Drosophila melanogaster: one gene and its partner. The protein of the gene in region 2 interacts with the protein of the main gene of each other region in a pairwise test. Each region holds a gene or a part of one and is shown on either strand. Other genes may lie near its edges.

What was found. The genes of interacting proteins can lie anywhere in the genome.
Region 1: the proteins of Sox15 (region 2) and gus interact in a two-hybrid assay, tested with the Drosophila melanogaster proteins (one large-scale study listed by BioGRID).

The regions. Positions count from the first base shown.
Region 1 is NT_033778.4:5,125,322-5,131,623, reverse strand, and holds the start of gus (gustavus), read left to right. Parts: upstream 1-3,302; 5' UTR 3,303-3,398; intron 3,399-4,100; exon of another isoform or gene 4,101-4,221; intron 4,222-4,281; exon of another isoform or gene 4,282-4,375; intron 4,376-6,302. UniProt on the Drosophila melanogaster protein: Involved in the localization of vas to the posterior pole of the oocyte. Required maternally in the germ line for efficient primordial germ cell formation.
Region 2 is NT_033778.4:14,206,232-14,214,331, reverse strand, and holds the start of Sox15 (Sox box protein 15), read left to right. Parts: upstream 1-1,918; 5' UTR 1,919-2,991; coding exon 2,992-3,044; intron 3,045-8,100.

The sequences.
Region 1 (6,302 bases), 9.1 Mb from region 2:
CTCTAGAAGAATTGCAGTGCTTTGTGAGTAAACTAAAACCAAAGAAAGCCCAGGGTAATCACCTGATTGATAACAAAAAAATAGAGAATTCTATAGACAAGATCACCAACTATCAGATACCCGTTACTCAGCTAGTGTGAATGCGAACGTGAAATTTCATAATTTTTCTGGAAGATCGATAGATATTGGGAATAAAATGAGAAAAAACTTAAATATAGTTCCAAAGAGTGGGCGTGACCAGTTCGCTGGCTTTAGGGCGTTGGAGTGGCAAATCGATAGAAATTTACAAGGCTAATAAAATTTTGAAAAAATATCGAAACGTTTATCAAAAATGTGGGCGTGGCAGTTTTGGGCGTTTTAGGGCGTTAGAGTGGTCGAGGCAAATATTTTTTTTTACAAATCGATAAAAATTCACATAGATAATAAAATTATAAAAAAATATGGAAACGTTTTTTAAAAATGTGGGCGTGGCAGTTTTAGGCGATTTTAGGGCGTTAGAGTGGCCGAGGCAAAAGTTTTTTTGCAATTCGATAAAAATTCACATAGATAATAAAATTATGAAAAAATATGGAAACGTTTTTCAAAAATGTGGGCGTGGCAGTTTTGGGCGATTTTAGGGCGTTAGGGTGGCCGAGGCAAATATTTTTTTTGCAAATCGATAAAAATTCACAAAAATAATAGAATTATGAACAAATGTGGAAACGTTTTTCAAAATTGTGGGCGTGGCAGTTTTGGGAGATTTTAGGGCGATAGAGTGGACGTGGCAAAACATTTTTTGAAAGTCGACAGAAATGTACAAGACAAATAAAAATGTGATAAAAAATATCGACACGTTTTTCAAAAGTGTGGGCGTGGCAGTTTTGTGCGGTTTGTGGGAGTGACAACATGGGTCAACAAACTTGCGCTGCGTCTTTGTCTCTATTCTTTGTCTTCTATTCTGAATGCTGAATCTCAACCTTCTAGCTATTATAGTTGTTGATACGTTAATACGGACATGGCTAGAACGACTCGGCTATTTATCCTGATCAATAATATATTTACTTTATGTGATCGGAAACGCTTCCTTCTGCCTGTTATATATCCTAGTATGCCCTTTAATTCTACGAGTAACCAGAATAAAAAGCGAAGGTAATTTTTTTGCCCAACGGTACAGCGCTGTGCAATAATAAACTGTTTAAAAATGTCCATATGAACATCAAGATCGCAGCTAGAATGTTGAGATTCAGCGTAAAGATTCTAGAGACAAAACTACCGTACCGGTCACGCCTACACTTTGGAACTATTTTTACTCTTATCTCTTGTTATTTATATATTTTATATTAAATTCATTGGATTGAAATTTGAACACTATGTCATATAGCAGTAAAAGTATGTTATTAAAGAAGATTATTATTTTATTAATGGAAAAGATATCCTAGAAAAAAGCATTGTACCCGTATTTAATTAAATAGAATTTTGAGATAAAAAAGAAAACAAAACATTTTTCTTAAACTTTTTATCGGAGTTGCCTACCTCATTTTATTTCCGGTCCTAAAGCAATTTATTAAAATGCGAAGATTTTCGCTTCTATGAATCTATTAGCGGTGGTCAGGTTTTTCAAGCTCTACATTAATGAATTTAGTGACCAGAAACATTGCAGAACTCACAGGTCGCAGGGCTGAGGCTTGAGGCAAGAAGGACAGACCTACACAAATCAGATGTTCTGCTACTTTGCACCTGGTTGACTGACGCATAGCTTGTTACGGCTGCGTCCTGCAACACTGCTCCAGAAACGATGCCATGTTGGAATTGAATTCTTTAAGACTGGTTCTCCAAATGCTGCTCCCATTTCGCCAGACTTTCCGGATCCAGCTTTTGGATAAGTACTTGGGCGATAATTCATCCAACGATTTGTGTCGTTGAGCCCATTCCATTTAGCGCGCGAATATGAGCGTTGAATTTATCACACAGTTTACAAAGCATTGAAACGGAACCATTCTGAACTGCCCTTGCCCTAGAATCTCAGTAATGTGTGCCTGGAATATTAAACAAACAGACAAATTCAATGCTATAGCATAGTTGCCATCCGATATTTCAAGTGCAGTGTCCCTCAGACATGTTCTTAGATGCTGCAACTTTTCTATGTTTGTTAGTTCAGGATGGCTATCTATTATCGTAGTAAACATAGAATAGAAGTCCAGCCAGATAGCTCGCCCAAGAGGGGGCAGCGACGTCCTATGCCGGAGTGCTACTTAATTGAAGTGTTAAAGCTTTAAACAGCTTTGCGAGCTTGTTGCAAATTATTGTTTATTAGCTGTTTTTGAGCAATGAAAAGACGAGTTTTGTGTAGCGATTTTGAACGATATGTTTAATAATAGCCGACATGTAAAAAAGATTTTGTCAAAACTTATACATGAGAAATGTTGTGTAAATTTTTGAGAAATTAATTGAAAAATGGTAACATTAAGGACAGTTGTTGAAATTAGGTACAATATTACCATTTGTAAGCGTATGTAAAACGAGCGGTAGAATAACAGTATATTATCGTATCATACGTTGAACGAACTGAGAGGCAGTTCAGTCGCGTAAAGTCAAAGCCAAGAATGTAGAAGGAAGCACATTGCCGCGCGGAGTCGCAATAAACAATCGGATGTCATCAAAAAAAGTGCAACCTGCAAAAACAATATATGGCAGTTAAGCATCTAATTATTCTTTATTATTCTTTGAACGAGCCGTATTCGGTAAGGAGAACCCGGTTTTCAATTAATAACGCCGAGTAAAATAAACTGTTTTAGTTATTTTATATTTATATTTTTTTATTTACCCGTTATTCAGCTAATGCCAGCTTTTGGCATAAATATTAATAAAATGAAAAATTGTTTGGCAGTTTAGGCGTAATGCGACAGTAGGTAAAATGTGCCTGTCATACCGTAAAAACAAGCGAGACAGATAATTGTTTTTATGAATTATTACAGTTTTTTGGTTTGGGTAAACCAAAAATTTGCAATTGTAAACTTATCAAGTTACTTTTACGCATGGGGTCAATCAGATACCTTTAATTTAAAAAATTGTAATATGGTGATAAAATGAATAACTTCATTTAAAAAGATTTTAAAATTTGTTTAATTTACATTATGTTGTGCTAAATCTTGAAACGGCTTGACTTAGAAAGTCTTTACCAAACTTCGGTCTTTGAAGTTAAATTAAATTATATAATTTCGAAGAAATTATTAGTCTTTTCCAAAATCCCACTCATTCCGCACATGACAAAAATCGTTACATGTCACAACACTGTTGATGTACGGTATAAGTGGATATACAAACAAATGAATGTTTTGTGCATCAAAGGTTCCTGAGTGATATTTTGCTTTATGTGTTGTTTTATTTTAATCATAGCAAATCGACAAGATAAAAGTAATGTAAGTTTCACAGGAACTGATAAATGAAATTCACACATATCTAACGTGGGAATTGATCAATTAATTATAAATATGGAATGTAAGAACATATGTATGTTCATATTTATAAACGTTAATCAGATAAAAATTTGAGATATGTGATAAAAATAATTATATGTGAAAACTTATCTGTACATATTGAACTTCATGTATTCAATCTCCTTGGATTGAATTTGTATGAGCGTACAAAAACACTATAAGAATATTAATTAGGAGTGAATCTGATATCACCAAAAATACATACATACGTAATTGCATACAATCTTAAAGATTTGTTGGAGAATATATTATAGGGAAGGAAGCGTTTCCCTAATGCATAAAGTATTTAAGCATATGTATATAAATAACTATATTATTGATCAGGATTACTAGACAAGTCGATCTGGCCATGGGCTTGCTTCAGTTATATGATTTTCGAATTTTTTTTTTATGAATAGTTCGTCGGTGCTGTAGCAACTTTTCATTTATTTTCTATTAACTTTAACAGTAAAGTTGAATCAATACGAAATTTTGGTTAGTATAAAAATTACATTTAAACCAAGACTGCATCACTACTTTTCTTTTAAAAGGTAATATGCAGGCTTAACTCAATGAAGGCGGCGCAAGCCGCTTTTACACTAGCATATTGTTAATTCACACAATGTAAAGTTTACTTTAACTTACTTCACTACATCCTTTAGTCATTCAGACTATACGCTATTTGTTATACTCGTTATACCCGTAGAGTAACAGGGTTCCTAGATCCGTTGAAAACTATGTAGCAGGAGGAAGGAAGCGTTTCCGACTATATAAAGTATATACAAACATATGTAAATACATATATTCTTGATCGAGACAATCTGACCATGTCCGTCTGTCCATATCAGCATCAAGATCAGCCAAAATGTTGAGATTCAGCATACAGATTCTAAAAACATAGACGCAGCGCAAGTTTGTGACCCATGTTGCCACGCAAACTCTAACGCCCACACACCACACAAAACTGTCAAGCCCACACTTTTAAAAAATGTGTTGATATTTTTTCACATTTTTTTTAGTCTTGTAAATTTCTATCGATTTACAAAAAAAAAATTTCTAACGCCCTTAAACCGCCAAAAACTGCCACGCCCACATTTTTGAACAAATTTCTGGATATTTTTCAATAATTTAATTAGTCTTGTAAATTTGTATCGATATGCCAAAAAACTTTTTGCCACGCCTAATCTAACGCCCTAAAACTTCCCCAAACTGTCACGCCCACACTTTAAAAAAATGTTTAGATTTTTTTTCATTTTTGTTTGTCTTGCCAATTTTTTATCGGTATACCAAAAACACCGTAACCACGCCTCCCCTTTTACCAACAAAACGGTCACGCCCACACTTTTAAACCATTTTTAAATCCTTTTTATTTTATCTTTATCTATCGATATCCCAAAAAATGTATGCAATTTTACGTTCGACTACAGCATTCTGTTTTGTTTTTCTCTCGATTTTTTGGTGCTGGCTCTAGAGATGGCTCCAGGCTCTCTCGAATGTTTGTTTAAGAGCCAGAGTGCGGAAAGATATACAGCCAGCTGCCCTCTTCGGCTGTCACTGTATGCGTAAGAATAAAGGAGACAATGATTGTTGGGTGCTTATGTTCGCACTTCGTGTCTCAAGAAATCATTTTTGCAATAAACAGTCAACGTATTTTTATATATTGTATATACAGTTTGTCAAGAAACTGTTTACACACTGTGAAATAAGTTGAATTTTTGACCTTAAAGGTAAAAATGTTCAAACGCTATTTTTTTATGAAATATATTTTTGTTTTACTTATAAATCAAAAAACAAATTATAAATATTAAATATAAAGAAAAGAATTTTGAGACTGTCAAGAAACTCTACGTTTTCTTTATGTGTTTAATGTATGTATGTATGTTTTTATTATTATTTAGAAATTTATTTTTTGAAATGTAATTTTTTTTTTAAATATTTCACATTGCAACTTTAAAAATTGATGTCGCAAAAGATGTCGTCAGTCCCGTTTTACATATTATTAATTATAAACACAAATTAAGATATGAAACATTTATATGAAACACTTTAAAAATCTAATAGTCAAGGCATACATGTTTAAATATTATTTGAGTAGATCATTTTGCAACGAAATTGCCCGAAACTCTAAATATGTTATATCGGATCTTAGATCAAAATTGATTTCTGCCCGAAAATCGTCTTCTAGCACAAGTACGCACACATACAAACATTCTCCAAAGACGCTAGTTATTCTAGTGTCTTTGCTTTCTCGTTTATTCTTTTAGCACACACAAGCAAGTGTATTATTTTTTTCGATTTTATACCGCTCTCAATTTTACTCAAGCGGAGAGAGAGCAATTTTGACCGTCAACAAAAAAGTGGCTGCATAGTGCAAAACCAATGAATGGCCGTTACGCATCTTGTAATTCTATTGTCTTTGCTTTAACTCGGTCTGTGAAATCAAAACAATAAGGAATTCAATAAGACAACTAGCTGTACAAGCTTTAGGAATGATACGAATAAAAGTGGTTGGCACGCTTTAAATAGCTTTTATGTCGAAATTTTTTTTTTTCGATTTTCCTTTTACTTGAAATCGATCGATACGCTAACTAAGTTTTGAAATATCTTCTTGCCTCGCATCTAAATATCGGATTCCTGGTTGTCTTGATAATCTGTGATTGTTCTGATTATTATATGATTAATATAATACTATATATATATATATATATATATATATACAGTATTGCTAGTATGTTTTCACATTAGTAAAAAAATATATCTTCATAATGTACTACCATAAGTAATAAATATTCAAATTTGCTTATATTCGATTCTTAAGTTTGAAAGCATTGGAAAAACAGTTTATAT
Region 2 (8,100 bases):
CACCGAGGCACGCTTTGATCCGATCCTCATTCGCAATCTTTACCCCGCTTCCCATTCCTGTTCTCTCGGCCTTTAGTCTTTGGTCTTTGGGGTTTCAGACTTCAGTGCTCGGTCGCCAGTCTTCAGTCTCCAGTCTCCAGCCTTCTCGATCGGCACACGCTTGCGCTGCAGTTGCTCCCCCCCTTTTGGGATTTTCTTTCTTTTGGTCTGACCGATGCTCCGATGGTCGGAGGAACCTTTTGGCCGCTGCCCGATCCCCCGCCCCGCACCTGTGCACATGCATAAATCGACGAATCCACGACCACGAATCCGCGAAGACTTGGGCCTCGCATCGCCGGCGGCAATTATCGCGATGTGATAAACAAATATTTTGCATCTATGGCAAGAGGAAGCGAAGGCTTTCCCGGCATTCTGGCGCTTAATTATGAACTCCGGCTGGGCTTGGGGATGGAGGTAGCCCCATCCGAGTACGAGTTTATTATTATTAAATGCCCTGCGCGTGGCCGCATGCACTTTTACCTGCCAACGTACTTGACTCGTCTTCTGGGAGGTTCGTCGCTTTTCTACCTCCTCATCTTCATCTCGATTTTTTTGTGCCTTTGATTTTTTTTATTTTTTGGGCTTGGCTGTGCGGTTCGCTGGCAGCAGTTGTTGCAATATGCAATTTGGCTGCTTATCTCCAGTTGGATACCAATCAGCTTGGCCCCAAAAACTTTGGTGGGTGGAGAGTGAAATAAAAATTAAATATGGCTCTATTTGAATATTACAGCCGCTTTCAAGGCATTGGGCTCACTGGGCGGATACTTAATGGACAGTAAGATGGTATTAAGATAAGCATTTTCAACTGTGATCTATTCCATGATATATATTTTATTAAATATATAAGAACTTTGTTTTAATGTTAAGAGAGTTGGTATAGTTACTATTGAGTTGCTGATCAGAGAATGTATTAGTTTTTGTGTAGATTTATGAATATTGTATCTATGAGCTACTTTTTGATTTACATTCTGTTAAAATCTATTTGATAGTGAACAAGATAGTATGACTTACTACTAACAAATTGTTTTGTAAGTTTAAACTCTTTACAAACTGCCTGAAAATCCCTTTCATTCCCATTTAGTCACCTTTTGATTAATGACTTTCGTTGCTTTCCATTTGCTTAGAGATTGCCAATTTAAACATTTGCGAATCTTTCGCAAAATCTCTCTCTTTCTGAAAGACGGTGCCCCATTTGATCCAAATAACACCCTTTTCCCAGAGGTTCCGAACATTACGATATTTGCATACGCTGGCTTCCGTGTATGGGTGCTATCCCCCCATCCGCTAGTATATGCATGTGCACATACAGACGTACGGTTGTGTATATATGGACCCCAACGACATTGGGGGCCTCCACCAATTGAAACAAACCAAATGCAAAGTTGTCTCTCCCACAACAAACGGATCTCGGGGAACAGGTTTTACATTTCTGAAAGTGAGACCGAGAGATCGCGAGAGTCCGAAACAAAACGAAACGAACCGAACGAACGAACGAATGAATATTAAACAAGCTCTGTGTTTCATTAGATTCAAAAGAACTCGCCGCTGCTCTCGGTTCGGAGGCTATGGGTAAAGTATACTTGTCTATGGTACGGCATAGTCTGGGAGACAGGGCCAAGTCACCTGGGCTCGGACCAGAGCCACTTGCTCGTTCCGCATCGATGAACAGCTGCTGCTGCTGCCGCTGCCGCCACTCTCTGGCTGTTTCGATTCAAGACTGCGCGAAAGGTTCAGCTTATGGCTTTTCGCTTTTTGGCCTTATGCACGGGCTCTGAAGGCAGAGACACCTCAGTTCGGTTCACAATCTCCCAGCTCCCCAGCTGCCAGCCGCCAGCTCACAGTTCCCCCAGTTCGCGAGAGCGTCGATCGGTCGTCGAGTTCAGTTGGCCTGCGGTTCGTCATCAGCGTGGTTCATGCGGCTCCGACTTTCAGTTCGCCTTTAACTCTGACTCAAGCCCTGGCATCGGCGGAACTCGGTAGTGACTCTGGTGGCTCTCCATTGACATCGCCATCTGCGTCCCCGGGCTGTAATCATAAATATATATATATCTACATACAAACTGGCCCGCTGTACATAGGCCCAGTTAGTTAGTTTGTTAGTTAGTTAGTTAGTTACTTGCTTAGTAGTTGCTGTTGTGCCGTGAATTTTCATTTTCCCAAGAGCGCTATCCGCTGTTTGTATCTTGTGAAATGTCGAAGCCCTTGATTTTAGGCTACGGATACGTTCGTTAGTCAACCTTTAAACAGCTCGCTTTAGGGCCAAAAACTAATGAACAAGTGATTTTAAAGAACGTAGATCAATACCGGTAAAACTATGTAAAAAGTGACACAATCTGTTTAATAAAAAGTTTACATCGTTCCGGTGTTGAAAAGTATCTTTTCAACACCAAGTGCCAATCGAAAATCCAAATTTGAAGTGTGTATTTTTCAATATCTTCAAAATAATCACCAGTGAATAGTGAGATTCAAAAATATATTTACATCACTCGGTGATTGCGAAATTGTGGCCAAAATGTGGGTTAGGCTCTGAGCCACAAACAAAACAAAATCTGACAACAAATGGACGCAAATTCACACATGCCGTGGCACATAAATTTATGGTTGGAACTGTAACTGGGCAAAAATGCTCGGCCCGGCAGACATCAGTAGCAGTAGTAGTGGCACCACCATCACCACCAGCGAACCACCAACCGCCACCACCCACCAATCCACCCGAACCGCCGACAAAGGGAAAAACTAACGGAATAATGCAACATTAAGCAAAATGCTGCTGGCCCTGCTAAAGCAAAGCCAACAACAACAACAACAACACCAATTTCAACCTGCCACCACCGACGTCAGCAACAGCAAAAACAACAGCAACAACTACAACAACAGAAGCAACAACTGCAACTGCAACAACATCAACGTCACCGTCACCGTTACCACGAACATCGCCGTTGCCGTATAAAAATGGAACCCTCATATGATCACGAACATCCACATCATCTGCTAACAAATTACAAGTAATATTTACATTTTTCCCATGCTAAAATTTTTTTCTCGCTGTTTAATTATATCCAACCGAAGCGAAGATACATATCTTCAAGATAATAACCATAATGAAAAATGGAAAAGGCGCTCGTGTAGTGGTGAAGAAATTCTCTAGATCGTACATATATATATATATACAATAAATATGTATATACTTATATATATGGGGGCCCATGACTGCGACTTTTCAAGACTTAGTCACAATCACAGATACTAAGATACTAAGATACAAAGATACTAGCGGCGGGCACGACAGCGAGAAACACCGTCGGGGATGTCGAATGCACACTGTGGCAGTAAGCTACAACTATAAAGCACGGTTATATATGTATAAATATATATATATGGGGGTTATACAGTATATAGTATCTGGGAATTTGCTTAGATTTTCCTTGGTGTGGCCCCAGTTTTCAGACCCCGCAGCACTTGCACTTGTATTCGTATCCGCTTCTCGATTCTCTCCGTTTCCCTCGGCAAACGTAAACGTAAACGTAAATATGTAAATGGTCGACTGCGAATAACTTAAGAACCGTCTTCGGACGCGACTCGAAATTGGTCAAGTGGAAAGTAAACCAAGACGCCGGAGAAGTCGGCGGGGGTGGAGACCCTGGGAAAAAGCAGAGGCCAAGAACGCACAGGCGACGCACCGAGAAGAAGTCTTAACATTTGGTATATTTCGGCCAGAGGTCAGGCCATTATAAAGATTTGTATCCGATCTACACAGCTTGATAGATACGCATGAGGTTTTAATATCCATATATAAGTATATGACTGTATATAAGTATTTCCCCTTTATACGTATTAGCTAGCCATTTCAGCTGACTGACTTTCGTAGTTTCCGACGGGAAATTCCCGTCTACAAATTGGCTGGAATTATGAATGGAAATGAAGCCATGAAATTAAATTAAGTACAGATGAAAAGCTCTGATAAGTCCGCACACACTTTTCGTAAGAAATTCGAAACCGAAAATCACAATTAAGAATGTCTCATGGGCGAAAGCCTGTCGCATTTTTCGTCACATTTTCCAAATCTTCCTGCTTGGGATTGGCTCATCACGGGACGGGGCATTTCATTTCATTCAGTTTGATCTTTTATGGCTGCCCCATAAATCAAGTCAAGGCTGCGATCTACCTAAAGTTTGCTAACTTCGTTTTCAATCTAAATAGTTTTCAATATCAAATAAAATTCTATGGCCAATAAACAACCATCTGTATATGTGGATTTCCAATCAATGTTTGAAAATTAATTAAGGCTTTACCGTGACTAAGCTGGATTGGAAATGCATATATCCAATTGAAATTTACTTATTTCCTTTAGAACTTGTTTTTGATTGTCCGCCTTTTACACATTTCCCGGATACTAAAAGTGAATAGTATTTAAGAATTAATGTTTGCTTGATCATTTCTGGACTTTCCCTACTGCAACCAGGAACTTAAGTTTTCATTGACGTAAAAGGAGATTCCAATGGTTGTAACTTCTTGGAAGAGAGAGATAAATCTTTCGAAATGTTTATAAATCGTGTTTGGACAGCTTAATCGCCTAATTGTATTGATGAATCTGAAGAGTACACTCCTATTTTAAAATGAAATCCTATTTTAACTTGATATAACAGAATTTAATGTATTACAACTACATGCCATTCACGGCAATCAAACTATTATATTATGTGAGCAAAAATCCCTTTCCATTCAACAAAAAATCATATAAGAATTTCTTTAGGAATTTAAATATTCAATATCATCAAAAACAATACTGAATACTTTGTCAGATTTCTAGTGAAACCTTAGATGCGTGCTTAGTAACTGTAATATTGAAGTGGAAAAATAAAAACATTTACCATTAAACAGGATAATAGAGGAGATCGCCAAAGTGGTTAGACATATCCGATTCGACGTAACATCAATGATATGTCATGATTGGCATTAAACTTGGCAGATTACCAAGGAAATTAAATTATTGCTCATTCAACATTTCCCGAATGGCAGAAAAGTGATTTTCGGTACTTTCACTGTAGATTTAAAAACCTGATAAATACTTTTGGTCGATTTAAAAATACATGAGAAAAAATCCAAATCTAACTTGCCGTTTTAAACGCTTATAATTTGTTAACAAAATATTTATATAAAACGTTTTGCAATTATACTAAACTGACCTAAAGTTGGACTTCGCATTTTTAAAATTTCTTTAAAATTGTTTTATGGTTGTAGGATAATTTAAAAAAATGTAAAAGAATACAAATTTATTCACTAACATATACATAACAGAAGATCACAAAAAGCTTAATACACGGGAATACACCCGAAACTAAAACTAAAACTGATTTTAAAAGATATTCCTGCCCGCAAAATCGAACTTACTTCACATGAGCCACATAAATGTTTTCTGAGTAATTAATTTTAATAGCACTAATTAGTGGTCTAATAACATTTAAGGCAGTCAACACCCTGTAAAACGTCAACCCTAAAAAAAAATATAAGGGTTGGAACCTTTGAAAACACCCTGATTTAAGTCCGGTTAGTTGTTTTCGAATCCAGCCAACTAGCTAAGTACGGATCCTCCACATGCAATTACTCTACTTAGTGGTACGAGCATGCAGCACTGCCTCCATTTCCATGCAATCCATATAATTTAGTACCCCTCCACCTGCGAGGGTGTATACGTATAAGTATCTGTATGTGTATCTGTATCTGAGCACGTACATGTATCTGTTGGCTGCGTGTGCTGGTGTGCGTGCTAAAATCCATTAAATTTTTGTATCTTTTTTATGCTCCTAAAATCGCTTGTGTGAGAACTGGGTCTTCGTTGTTTCTTCGGCATGGCATGGGGGTGGGTGGTGCCTCAAGAAGTGGGGCTGGGGGGATCCACAGCGACGACAGCCGCAATAAACCTCATTAGCCGAACGAAAGCAGCAGCTTCGGCAACGTTCGGCCCTCGAAGATGGATGGTGATGATGATGATGACGCTACTCTCTTCGCTTGCTTCATTAGTTTAATTAGGTATGCCCAGGCCAGGTCACACATACATACACACATATATCGCCTCTATATAGAAGGCACAGGTATGGAGGTACCTATACCTTATAGCCCAATCCATTGTGCGTACCGATCTCATTCCCATTCGCAGCGAGGCAGGTAGCTCACCTTCATGTTCATGTTCATTAAAGCTAAGATGGCGGCTCTTTAGGCCCGGATGCTGGGATGTTTATGCTTATTGGTCAACAGCATCTACATGCGGCCATACAGATATATGCATATACGTACGATTATATAGGCGGCCATGCATATGTATGCGTAAATGGCCGATCCGATCGACCGACCGACCGACCGACAACTCATCGCGGCCCGCTGAAAGACCGGGCCTGCGTCGTTAAGTTATTCAAGTACATCACACCTGGGCCGCAGCTCCAGCTCCACAAGTTTATCCATGCTGGCATACACCAGCGCCCCTACCTATGCCCCAACCTCCAACTGGAACTGGGCCCAAGTCGTGCCAAGTCGTTTGGGCCAAACTCGTTTTCTTGGCCTGCGCTGAGCTCCACTGTGCACTGTGCTGTGCTGGGCCTCTGGAAATCTGTTTTGTATGCGGGGCGCCTGCAGCCGCAGCAGGCAGCCAATAGACTGCAAATGGAGCAAATGGAGAGCCACGGCAGATGCCTCTTCGCCAGGCGCTGTGGCCACACCCACCTCCAGGTCCCACCAGCCACCTCCTACTCCGCCACTTTATCCAGATTCAGCCTCGCCAGTCGAGCCGAGCCGGCTTTGACTGTGGCCGAAAACCAAAATGGCTTTTATTACCTTGCCGCACCGCTTGCATTTCTCCACAGGCTGCCAGGCTGCAAAACTGGCCCAATACGAGATCGCAGTTGAGGCGCCAAATGATTTGCCATTCTAGGCATGCATCTCTTTGGTGGGCAAATCTCGGATGCCTAACTATGCAATCGAGCATTAGATTGGATTCTAAGCGGAGCTCGCAATCAGATCTACATAAATTATATATCAAGGTTGTTCATTACCATTTTGCTGGGCAGAAGCTTTCTAAAATGTATATGAAGCTAATCGGATTACCAATGGGATTTATCTCAATTGGAACGCTGGCACTAGAGCCTAATCATGCATAATTGAAATTGGTATATAATTAAATTTAATAGGAAAATAACCATTTCCAACATGTTAATCTTATGGATAACTAGATCAGATTAGAAAGCGCAGTAATTAGAACTCACTATTATAATTCCATAATTTTCAGATAAGCCAGTTACACGATAATTTCGAAATATGCACTGATTTCCATATCAGTGTCTAAATCGTTCTATGACATACCCAGCAACAAAATCTCCCGAATAATAGAATGCCATTGTTCTTCACTCTGTTTTGTTCTGAATCCGAGACAAATCTGCCCAATTGTTGTCACATACCTGTCCGCAACTCAGAGTATCCCCAACTGGTCCCAACACGGCGAATAGACGACCAGTGGCTAGACAAAAGGTATTGACAGCTCACCGAAGCGGTGGATCTGTCTTAATTACTGTCCCATTTGCTGGAATGTCAGTTTGTCAACCGAATGTTGCAAGATGCAGCGAAACGCTTTCTAAAATTAGCCAGAAATATGGGATGACAATGTTTAGATTAAGAGGAAGCCGCAAGTTTAACTTTTTTATTGCCAACTCCTGTGACAATTGTCCCCCAAATGTACATACATATATACATATACATATACATATATATGTATGTATATTTATATATGTGGGGATGTCGGGTTGGGGGTATCCAACTTAAAAGGCTGTCTTGAGCAGCGCGGCAGAGCGTCACATGAATCACAATATGCTAAAGCGCCTGACACTCTCCAGATCAATGCGGCTTCTTCGGTTGGGAGTTGGTTGGCTGGCGGCTCCTGAATGAAGCCAGGGGCTTGTTAAAAGGGAGGAGTTGCCTACTTTTGTGGCAGCCACGAGGGGAGTCTCCCCTACCACCCCTCACAGACCGGCTCAGTCACCTCCAACTACCAACAACCAACTACCAAGGCCCCTT